Linked DNA regions of Xenopus tropicalis. The protein of the gene in region 2 purifies or fractionates together with the protein of the main gene of each other region. This does not show direct contact. Links are inferred from orthologs where the notes say so. Each region holds a gene or a part of one and is shown on either strand. Other genes may lie near its edges. The genes, in order: usp33 and adrb2.

Evidence for each region.
Region 1: the proteins of adrb2 (region 2) and usp33 purify together in Homo sapiens (affinity purification with western blotting; 3 studies listed by BioGRID and IntAct, with this or other methods). This does not show direct contact. The link is inferred for Xenopus tropicalis from reciprocal best matches to the Homo sapiens genes ADRB2 and USP33.

Annotation. Positions count from the first base shown.
Region 1 is NC_030680.2:80,353,680-80,357,500, forward strand, and holds part of usp33 (ubiquitin carboxyl-terminal hydrolase 33), read left to right. Parts: intron 1-613; coding exon 614-695; intron 696-2,962; coding exon 2,963-3,071; intron 3,072-3,821. UniProt on the Homo sapiens protein: Deubiquitinating enzyme involved in various processes such as centrosome duplication, cellular migration and beta-2 adrenergic receptor/ADRB2 recycling.
Region 2 is NC_030679.2:41,027,278-41,031,655, forward strand, and holds the start of adrb2 (beta-2 adrenergic receptor), read right to left. Parts: upstream 3,029-4,378; 5' UTR 2,819-3,028; coding exon 1,559-2,818; 3' UTR 1-1,558. UniProt on the Homo sapiens protein: Beta-adrenergic receptors mediate the catecholamine-induced activation of adenylate cyclase through the action of G proteins. The beta-2-adrenergic receptor binds epinephrine with an approximately 30-fold greater affinity than it does norepinephrine.

The DNA.
Region 1 (3,821 bases), on a different chromosome or scaffold from region 2:
AGTTGATTGGCCAAACTGAGAACAACCAGTGTACAGCTTTATTGTCATTTCACCAAGTTGTATGTAAAAACCTGTTTGTGCATGGTCAGGTGTAAGTGCCACTCTAATTATCCACAACAGGCTTAAAGTAATAAACTTTGGAATGTAGGCTTGTGGATTAATTCTACTGTTGGTTAAAGATTTTTTTTTTTTTTACAATTACACTGTTCTGATGTGACTTTAAAAGTGCCAGACAACTGAAAATGATTTTATTTTTATGGTGATCACACTATTACTGAACAAGTGTTTACTTCTTTTCAGTGCAAATATAACTGTAAACTGCTTCACAGATGAACTAAACAAATAAATACAGTCTAAGAAAAGGAAACTGTAAACAAGGGTTTTATTGTGACGGATAGCTCTTTAAATAACTTCATTAATGGGTGCTAATGGTTATCAAACCTCCAAAGATACCAATAAAAGTATGGATTCAGCTGAACCCTTAATTTAGGGTTTGGATTCTTTTCTATACGGTTTGTGAAAAACAAATGTGTGTCTTGCAGAGAGAAGCTGCTGTTTCTTTAGATTGCAGATTTAATAATTTGCTAACAGTAGATATTTTTTGTAACTCTAGGTGTACCTCCACGTAAGGCAAGCTTTATTGAAGATCTTGTTGTCATGCTTCCTCAGAACATATGGGATTATTTATATAGCAGGTATGGCCTTTGTCCATAGTAAATTCTGTTTATATTATTGTATTTGACATGTAACGATGGTGCAATCTGCCATTTTGTTTTTATTTTGCACACTATTCCTGCATTGTGTTCCTTGCAACTTCCTTTTTGGGCTCAGGCACCTGAATTGAAGGCTGCCTGCATTAGGCAGCCCTTGATCCAACAGAGGGAAACCCATACGTAGGCCTCCCTTAAAGCAGGTGGTAAGGACAGGGCTGCTTCACCTCCACCGAGCTCCAGATTTCTGATCTGGCATTCAGTGCAGAGACCAGCAATCTACATGTATAGCTGTATTGCAAAAAAAAAAAAAAAAAAAAGTTAAGTTAAAAATCATTTTTTTCAAACAGGGTGATTAGATGTGTGGGTTAATAACGTGGTACCTTATGTTCACATCCTCAGATTATGCATATGGAAGCTGCAGTGACAAATTTAGGAAAAAAGCAATATGATTTTTATGCTTGAAGTAAATGCTTGAAAAGAGATTGCTCATATATACATTTTTTTGTTAGGCTAAATGTTTGTAACTGCTTTAAAAATAGGTTCTGATCTTCTAGATCAGTGCTGTCCAACTGGCGGCCCGCGGGCCGCCCTCTGTGTGGCCCCCCACCTGTCTGGCTGCTTTGATGGTTTACCCATGGGGCAGGGAGGGTATGGCACAAACAGGCAGCATAGGGCAGGGAGGGTATGGCACAAACAGGCAGCATAGGACAGGGAAGGTATTGAACACACAGGCAGGGTAGGGCAGAGTATGGCACACACAGGGAGGGTAGGGCAGAGTATGGCACACACAGGGAGGGTAGGGCAGAGTATGGCACACACAGGCAGCATATGGCAGGCCAAGTATGGCACACACAGGCAGGGTAGGGCAGAGTATGGCACACACAGGCAGCATATGGCACACACAGGCATCATAGGGCAGGCAGAGTATGGCACACACAGGTAGCGTAGGGCAGGCAGAGTGCTACCCTATGCTGCCTGTGGGAGGTGAACCTGGCAGGGGTTTGTTCTGGGAGTTTGTTAGAAGTTGGAAATAGCCAGTAAATGGTCCCTAAGGTGTGTAATTATGTACTGGGGGTTGCTGTGCTATCCACAGGGGAGGAGAAGTCATATGGATTTTAGGGTGTGTCTTAATATGACATATATGACAATATAATTCTTTCACATATGAATGATGGTTGATATCCCTGCAGTGAGGACCAAGCATTTGGGTTTTTGCTGCACTACCACCATTGTGATAAAATGGGTGTGGTTTCAAGTGGGTGTGGTTTAAAAGGGGGGAGTGGCTTCCATTAGCGGCCCTCCACCATGTATGCGCGAGAAATTCCGGCCCTCTGCACAGCAGAAGTTGGACAGCACTGTTCTAGATGCAAGGTTTGGTCACATAAAGAAATATATGCATACAGATACCATGTTTTGGTTTAATTTCAGAAGACTATTGCATGCATTTGCAAGTGTAGATGTCGAATTCCAGCCGCCAAGTGAATGTTTTGTCTTAAAGGGGATCTAAACCCAAAAAATGAATTGATGTAAACTTACATCTCTGAGTACTATTGCATTTTACACTTTTATTATAGTCAGCAACCCTAGGAAGTGCTAAATTCAAGAAGTGCATAGAGTTTTCTATCACTGACTCTTAAAATGTTTAAAATGTTGAATGTCTCAGAAACTACTTAAAACAGAAACAAAATGCAATTTGTAAAAGTGCTCAGAGGTCCTTTCTAATTAATTCTGCACAGAATAATATTTAGGGGTTTAAAGTTTTGTTTTTTCTTTCTTGGTGGACTTTTTTCACTTACTCAAGGGAAAATGCATTTGCAGTCACACACCATAGACATTTGGTATCATACTTGCTACCTTGGCTCTGCTAATTTCTACCATCTGACACAACAGGAGCCTTAAGAGACCATCTGAGAAGTAGTTAGTTGCTGTCCATCTTAGTGCATTTTCTCTTTTATACAATGGTGAATAATATAGAAAACATTCTTTAGTACATTGGATGCAAGGATTCAGGACTAGGCTATGAGTAATTTGTTACAGTGTTCACACAATGCTGAAACATTTTGTACATAGACTCAGTTGTCCCCTGAAATGGTACATATGAGAACTGGACTCATTTACAGTGGACATATCTTCACAAATGTTGTAACTCATAAAAAGCACAATATACTTTAAACAATGGAGCATATAGAGAAGATTTGCCTATTCTTTACTTAGCGTGTCTTCTAAAAAAAACTTTTTTTGTGATGTAGATATGGTGGTGGTCCAGCTGTAAATCATCTCTATGTTTGCTACACCTGCCAAACAGAAATGGAGAAAATAGAAAAGAGACGTAAAATGGAGCTTGAGACATTCATTCGGGTATTTGCTTTCTCTTATTTTTTTTCATATAATCTCAATAATCTCCTAACCCCATCCCTATCTCTAGTTTTGGAAGGTTGAGTGAAGCATAACCTTAAACCAGGAAACATGTGCTACATTATATGATACCTTATATCAGTGATCCCCAACCAGTAGCTTGTGAGCAACATGTTGCTCACCAACCCCTTGGATGTTGCTCCCAGTGGCCTCAAAGCAGGTGCTAATTTTTTGAATACTTGGCTTGGAGGCAAGTTTTGGTTGCATAAAACCCAGTGTAAAGTCAAAGAGAGCCTTTTATAGGCTGCCAGTCCACATAGGGGCTACCAAATAGCCAATCATAGCCCTTATTTGGCACCTCCAGGTACCGTTTTCATGCTTGTGTGTTATGCTACACACTGTATATAAAATTAAGCTCCCCTGGCTGTTAAGGGCAGAAGGCTAGGCAGAATGGCAAAATCTTATTTTACTGAAGTAGGAAGTGTCTCTTGTCATTACCCTGTTCCATTCTGTTGTTCATTTTGACAGCTTGAGGTGCATTCTGAGTAGGGTATGAAGCTTCTGTTGTTGTTGATCCATGTAATTACTAATGTATCAAACTGTCTTACTGATGTTCTACTATTAACTATGGATTAAAAAATTGTAAAAACTGTAGAGCTGCATAATATAGTTAAATATATTAGAATATTAACTATTAGAAGAATAACTAGATTAATAAGAATAACTAGATTAGAAGAATAACTAGATAGATTG
Region 2 (4,378 bases):
TGATAGACCATAATAATTTGTAATGTCCTGTGTCTGTAGCCTATCAACTATTTTGTTTTTATATTCTTATTTATGAATGAGCCTCTGCTTTACTTCCTTCGTCTGTGGTTTCCTAGTTTATGCCTAAACATACCCCATTAAATCTATACTGAGTAGAATCATTGAAGAGACAAGAGGAAACAACCCGCAAGCTTGTCTTTAAGTGCTGCTGAACTACAACTCTCAGAATCCTACCACTGTCATGGGCAACTGCTGAGCACTGTAGTGCAGTCACATCTGGAAAGCCCCATATTTTGCTCATAACCCAGAGATAACTGATTAATTACCCTGACAGGACTTGGTTTCAGCCAGAGATCAGACACTACAGAACAGCAGTAGGAACATCTGTTCTGCCCCATCTAGGAGACAAGGACTCATTTATCTCGCAAATAGGGATCTAGGAGGCTGGGCTCACCGAAAAAACAGATTAGTTTGCCATCAAGAAGGGGATGGGTCCTCCACTCAACTTTGGACTTCACTGCTAAAATTAGATGAACTAAGTTAGACCTTTAACCCTTCTATCCTTAAAATACACTTTTGGTTAGAGGCTCCAGTATACGTGACAGTCACTGCAAATGTCAAATTGCTTATAAAAAGTGCCACTTTCCAACCTGCAACAGAGGGGTTAAAGGGGAATGCAAAGATTGGCACAAACCTAAAAGGGTGGCTGGAAATGTATTGAGTTAGCTCTGCGACTTTTTTTTTTTTTTTTACTGCATTTCCTCCCTGAGAAACCATGAAAAAAAAGAATTTATTTACAGGTGCAAAAGTACACAATGGTGGTAACTATAGCAACTATTCTGATATTATTTTACATGGTTTCACAGCAGCTTGCAAAACACGACCAACCAAAGCTGGTTGCTATAGGTTACTGCAATTGTGCCTTTTTGCACCTATGCTGAATGACCCCCAAGGGTCTCTCCTGGTTGCAACACACAGTTTTCATCAGTCTTATACAGAATATACGTTTTCCTATCTCTCACAACCCAACTTTTGCAATTTCAAAAGTTCAAAATATTAAGCTCAGCACATTAACCCCATCATTACTCAGGAGAGCTATCTCAAGGAAAGTAGAATTAACCCTGTCCCTTCCGCCAACAGCAGCTGTTTTTTGTATTATTAAGGGGTAGAAAAGGGGGGAAAAAGCAAGATTTTTTTTTTTTAAGTTTCAGAATTCTTGAACTTAGAATTCAATTTTTTTTTAAGGGTTTGAGGTAGATTTTTCTTCAGTAAAGTACACAGGGCAGCAACATAAAAATATAAAAGCCATTACATTATAACAAAAGATCTCTTACCTTAATTTAAGAGGAACTGAAAATAGACAGAAATGTACATTTTCTCATAATAAATTTATACATTCTGCAAGACATGGGCACTGCCCTTCTGCAAAATATACATATATAATATACATATAAAAACATTTTCCTTTGTATTATACATTCGGATATCTGGTTGACCCTTGTATTGCAATAATCCAGTTTGTTGTAATAGTTCAAATATTAAAAAAAAATCGACAATCCTATAATAAGCAATCATGCGTGTTATGATTCTTGCCCAGTGGTTCCAAGCTAAAATCTAGAAGAGTACCTTCACAGTTCAAAAGGGAGGGATTGGGAGTTTTCTCCTCTTTAAATAAAACTTCACAAGTCCTGTCTTTAGAATACTGACAAGGTTCTGTGTCTTCGTTGTATGCACTGTTCCCATTGCTCTGGGGGTACCCATTGGCATAGGCTTTGGAGCCCGGTTTCCTTAAGCACAGCAGCTCCTGAAAAGTGTATCTGAAATCTGGGCTCCTGCAGTAGATTAACGGGTTAAAGGCAGAGTTGACATATCCCACCCAGTTCAAGAAGTTGTAAACTTTGACAGGGATAAAGTCTTTGTGCATCACCTGGACAATGTTGACTATAAAAAAGGGGAGCCAACACAAAGTAAAAGTGCCCATTATTATCCCCAAAGTCTTCAGTGCCTTGTGCTCCTTCAACCAAAACTTTGAGGTCCTTTTATTTCCTTGCTTACCATTGGTGTCCTGTTGGTTATTCTGGTTGTGGAACCTTCCCTCGCTTTTGTCTATTTTCTTTAGTTGTTTTTTGGCCTCCTGGAAGACCCTTGCGTAGACAAAAATCATGACCACCAGAGGTAAGTAGAAGGAGATGATGGAAGAGGAGATGGCATAAGCAGGGTTGGTGAAGAAAAAACAACAGGAGGGGTCATCATAGCAATGCAAGGCACTCTCCTCCTCTATCCTATACCAGTGCATGTAGATGGGGAGGAAAGAGGTAAGTGTGGACACCACCCACACCAGCAGGATGACAATCCTGGCTTTGCACTTGGTCAGGAGGCTCTGATACCTGAATGGAGAGGTAATGGCGAAGTACCTATCCACTGCAATGACGCAAAGGGTCTCTATGCTGGCAGTGACGCAAAGGATATCCACTGATGTCCAGAACTCGCACCAGAAGTTATTGAAAACCCAAGTGTCCAGGATGATGGAACTCGCTCCGAAGGGCACCACTATCAGCCCCATCAGCAGGTCCGCACAGGCTAAAGACGTGATGAAGTAGTTGGTGACCGTCTGCAGCCTCTGGAACTTGGCTATGGCAGTGATCACCAACACGTTGCCGAGCACAATCACCAACACGATGCAAGACATGATTATGCCCATGCCCACCATCCACGCATCCCCGGGCTTATCGCTGGCGTTGCTAGTGTTGGAGACGTTGGAGACCAGCTGTTCGAGGGTGCTGTTAGGGTAGGGGCTGGCGGTGACCCGCTGTTCCATAGCTTTGCAGTCCCTTTGACTTTACTTCCACTTGTTAGGAGTCGGTTGGGTGTGACACGCAGCGCTGAAAGTACTCCTGCCCCGCGTATATCCAGCGCATTTAGCCATGGGGGAGGCGGAGTTGCCCGGTGTCGTTCATTTGTGCCCGTCCTGTTTGTGGGGCGTTAGACATGGAACTACCTCTCTCTCCTGAGAGTCTCTTCTGATTCTGGGCTGTGGGCTCGCCTGCTTTCTTTTATTAACACCCGCCCTTACGTCACAACGGGCTCCAGCCAATCCCCGGAGAGCAAGAGCGGGATACCGCGTAACACCGGCTGGTCGCTGCCTTTCTCTTTTCCTTTCGGAAGTTGCCTGCGCTAATAGTTAGCTGCGCTATACTGCGCTATACTGCACGGCGGATCAAACGGTGCCACTTACAGGCTTTAAGCAGGGTGGGCTCGAAGTTGCACGGCAGTGCATCTAATCAGTTGCTGATGTACAAGTACAGCCCCTGGTATCCCCCGAGAGTTCGAATTCTACAGCTACTGGGGCTGACTGGACATTACTGGACTCTTTCTGCGATTGGCAGATGTTTAGCTATGTCCAAAGTTTGATGTTTAGGTACAATTCCCACCATTGATTAGTTGGATAGCTTGTGTTACATATCCCCCTGCTTTAGGGTGAAGACACACAGAGCTACTAGTCGCAGCTTCTTTTTCACAGCTACTAAACGCCAGAAAATACCCTCCCATGGACAATACTGAGAATTGCCTCTGCTAAAACACAGGTACAGCCAATTATCAGTAAATGATCAGCATTGTCTACTTTAGTATATATACTAGTAGCTCTGTGTGTCTTCACCCTTAAGCGTCACATAACCAGCTACTACTTGTATTTTATTTATGATTTATTTCTTGTCATTCTTTTGCCCAGTGTATCTGATATCTGTGCAACACCTATTCTGCATTGCAGAGGCTATTGTGGCACTATGCGCTAATGGGTAAGGGCAGTGAACAGAATAGGAAACAACGTCAATCATTTAAACACTAAAAACAGTCAGAACTGTAATTTATGTACAGAGTTGCAGCTATGAAGGCATGCTGCAACCAGCTAACCCATTCCCAAGGGCAAAGCAATAATCAGAGCAGGGAGGGTGAAGACTATGGTGGCCCCATACTGCTAATTGTTGCACCTCTGCTTTCTTCTAATTGTTGCACTGCAGCCAAGAGCAGAGCCCATGGGCATATACTGTATGTATGGGAAGAAAAGAAGTCGGCAATAAACCTTCGGACTATGTATAGTAATTGTATCTACAGCTGTCATAAAAGATATGTTCAAATTCTTCTTCAGTGCAGAGTAAACTTGCAAAAAGTACAGAGAAAATAGAGCTGCTATATTGTATGTGAGTGTACTGAAATAACTTGCCACCTAGGTAATTATTAAGTGAGAGTTTTGCTTTTGGCACATATTAGTGGTACCAGGGGGGCAAGGGGCTACTTAGATCACCCCATTGCCGTAGTAGCTTTTGTGGTGATGTGGCCCAAAAAACTCACTCGGCAGGCCTTTCAGCTGTTGTTGAAC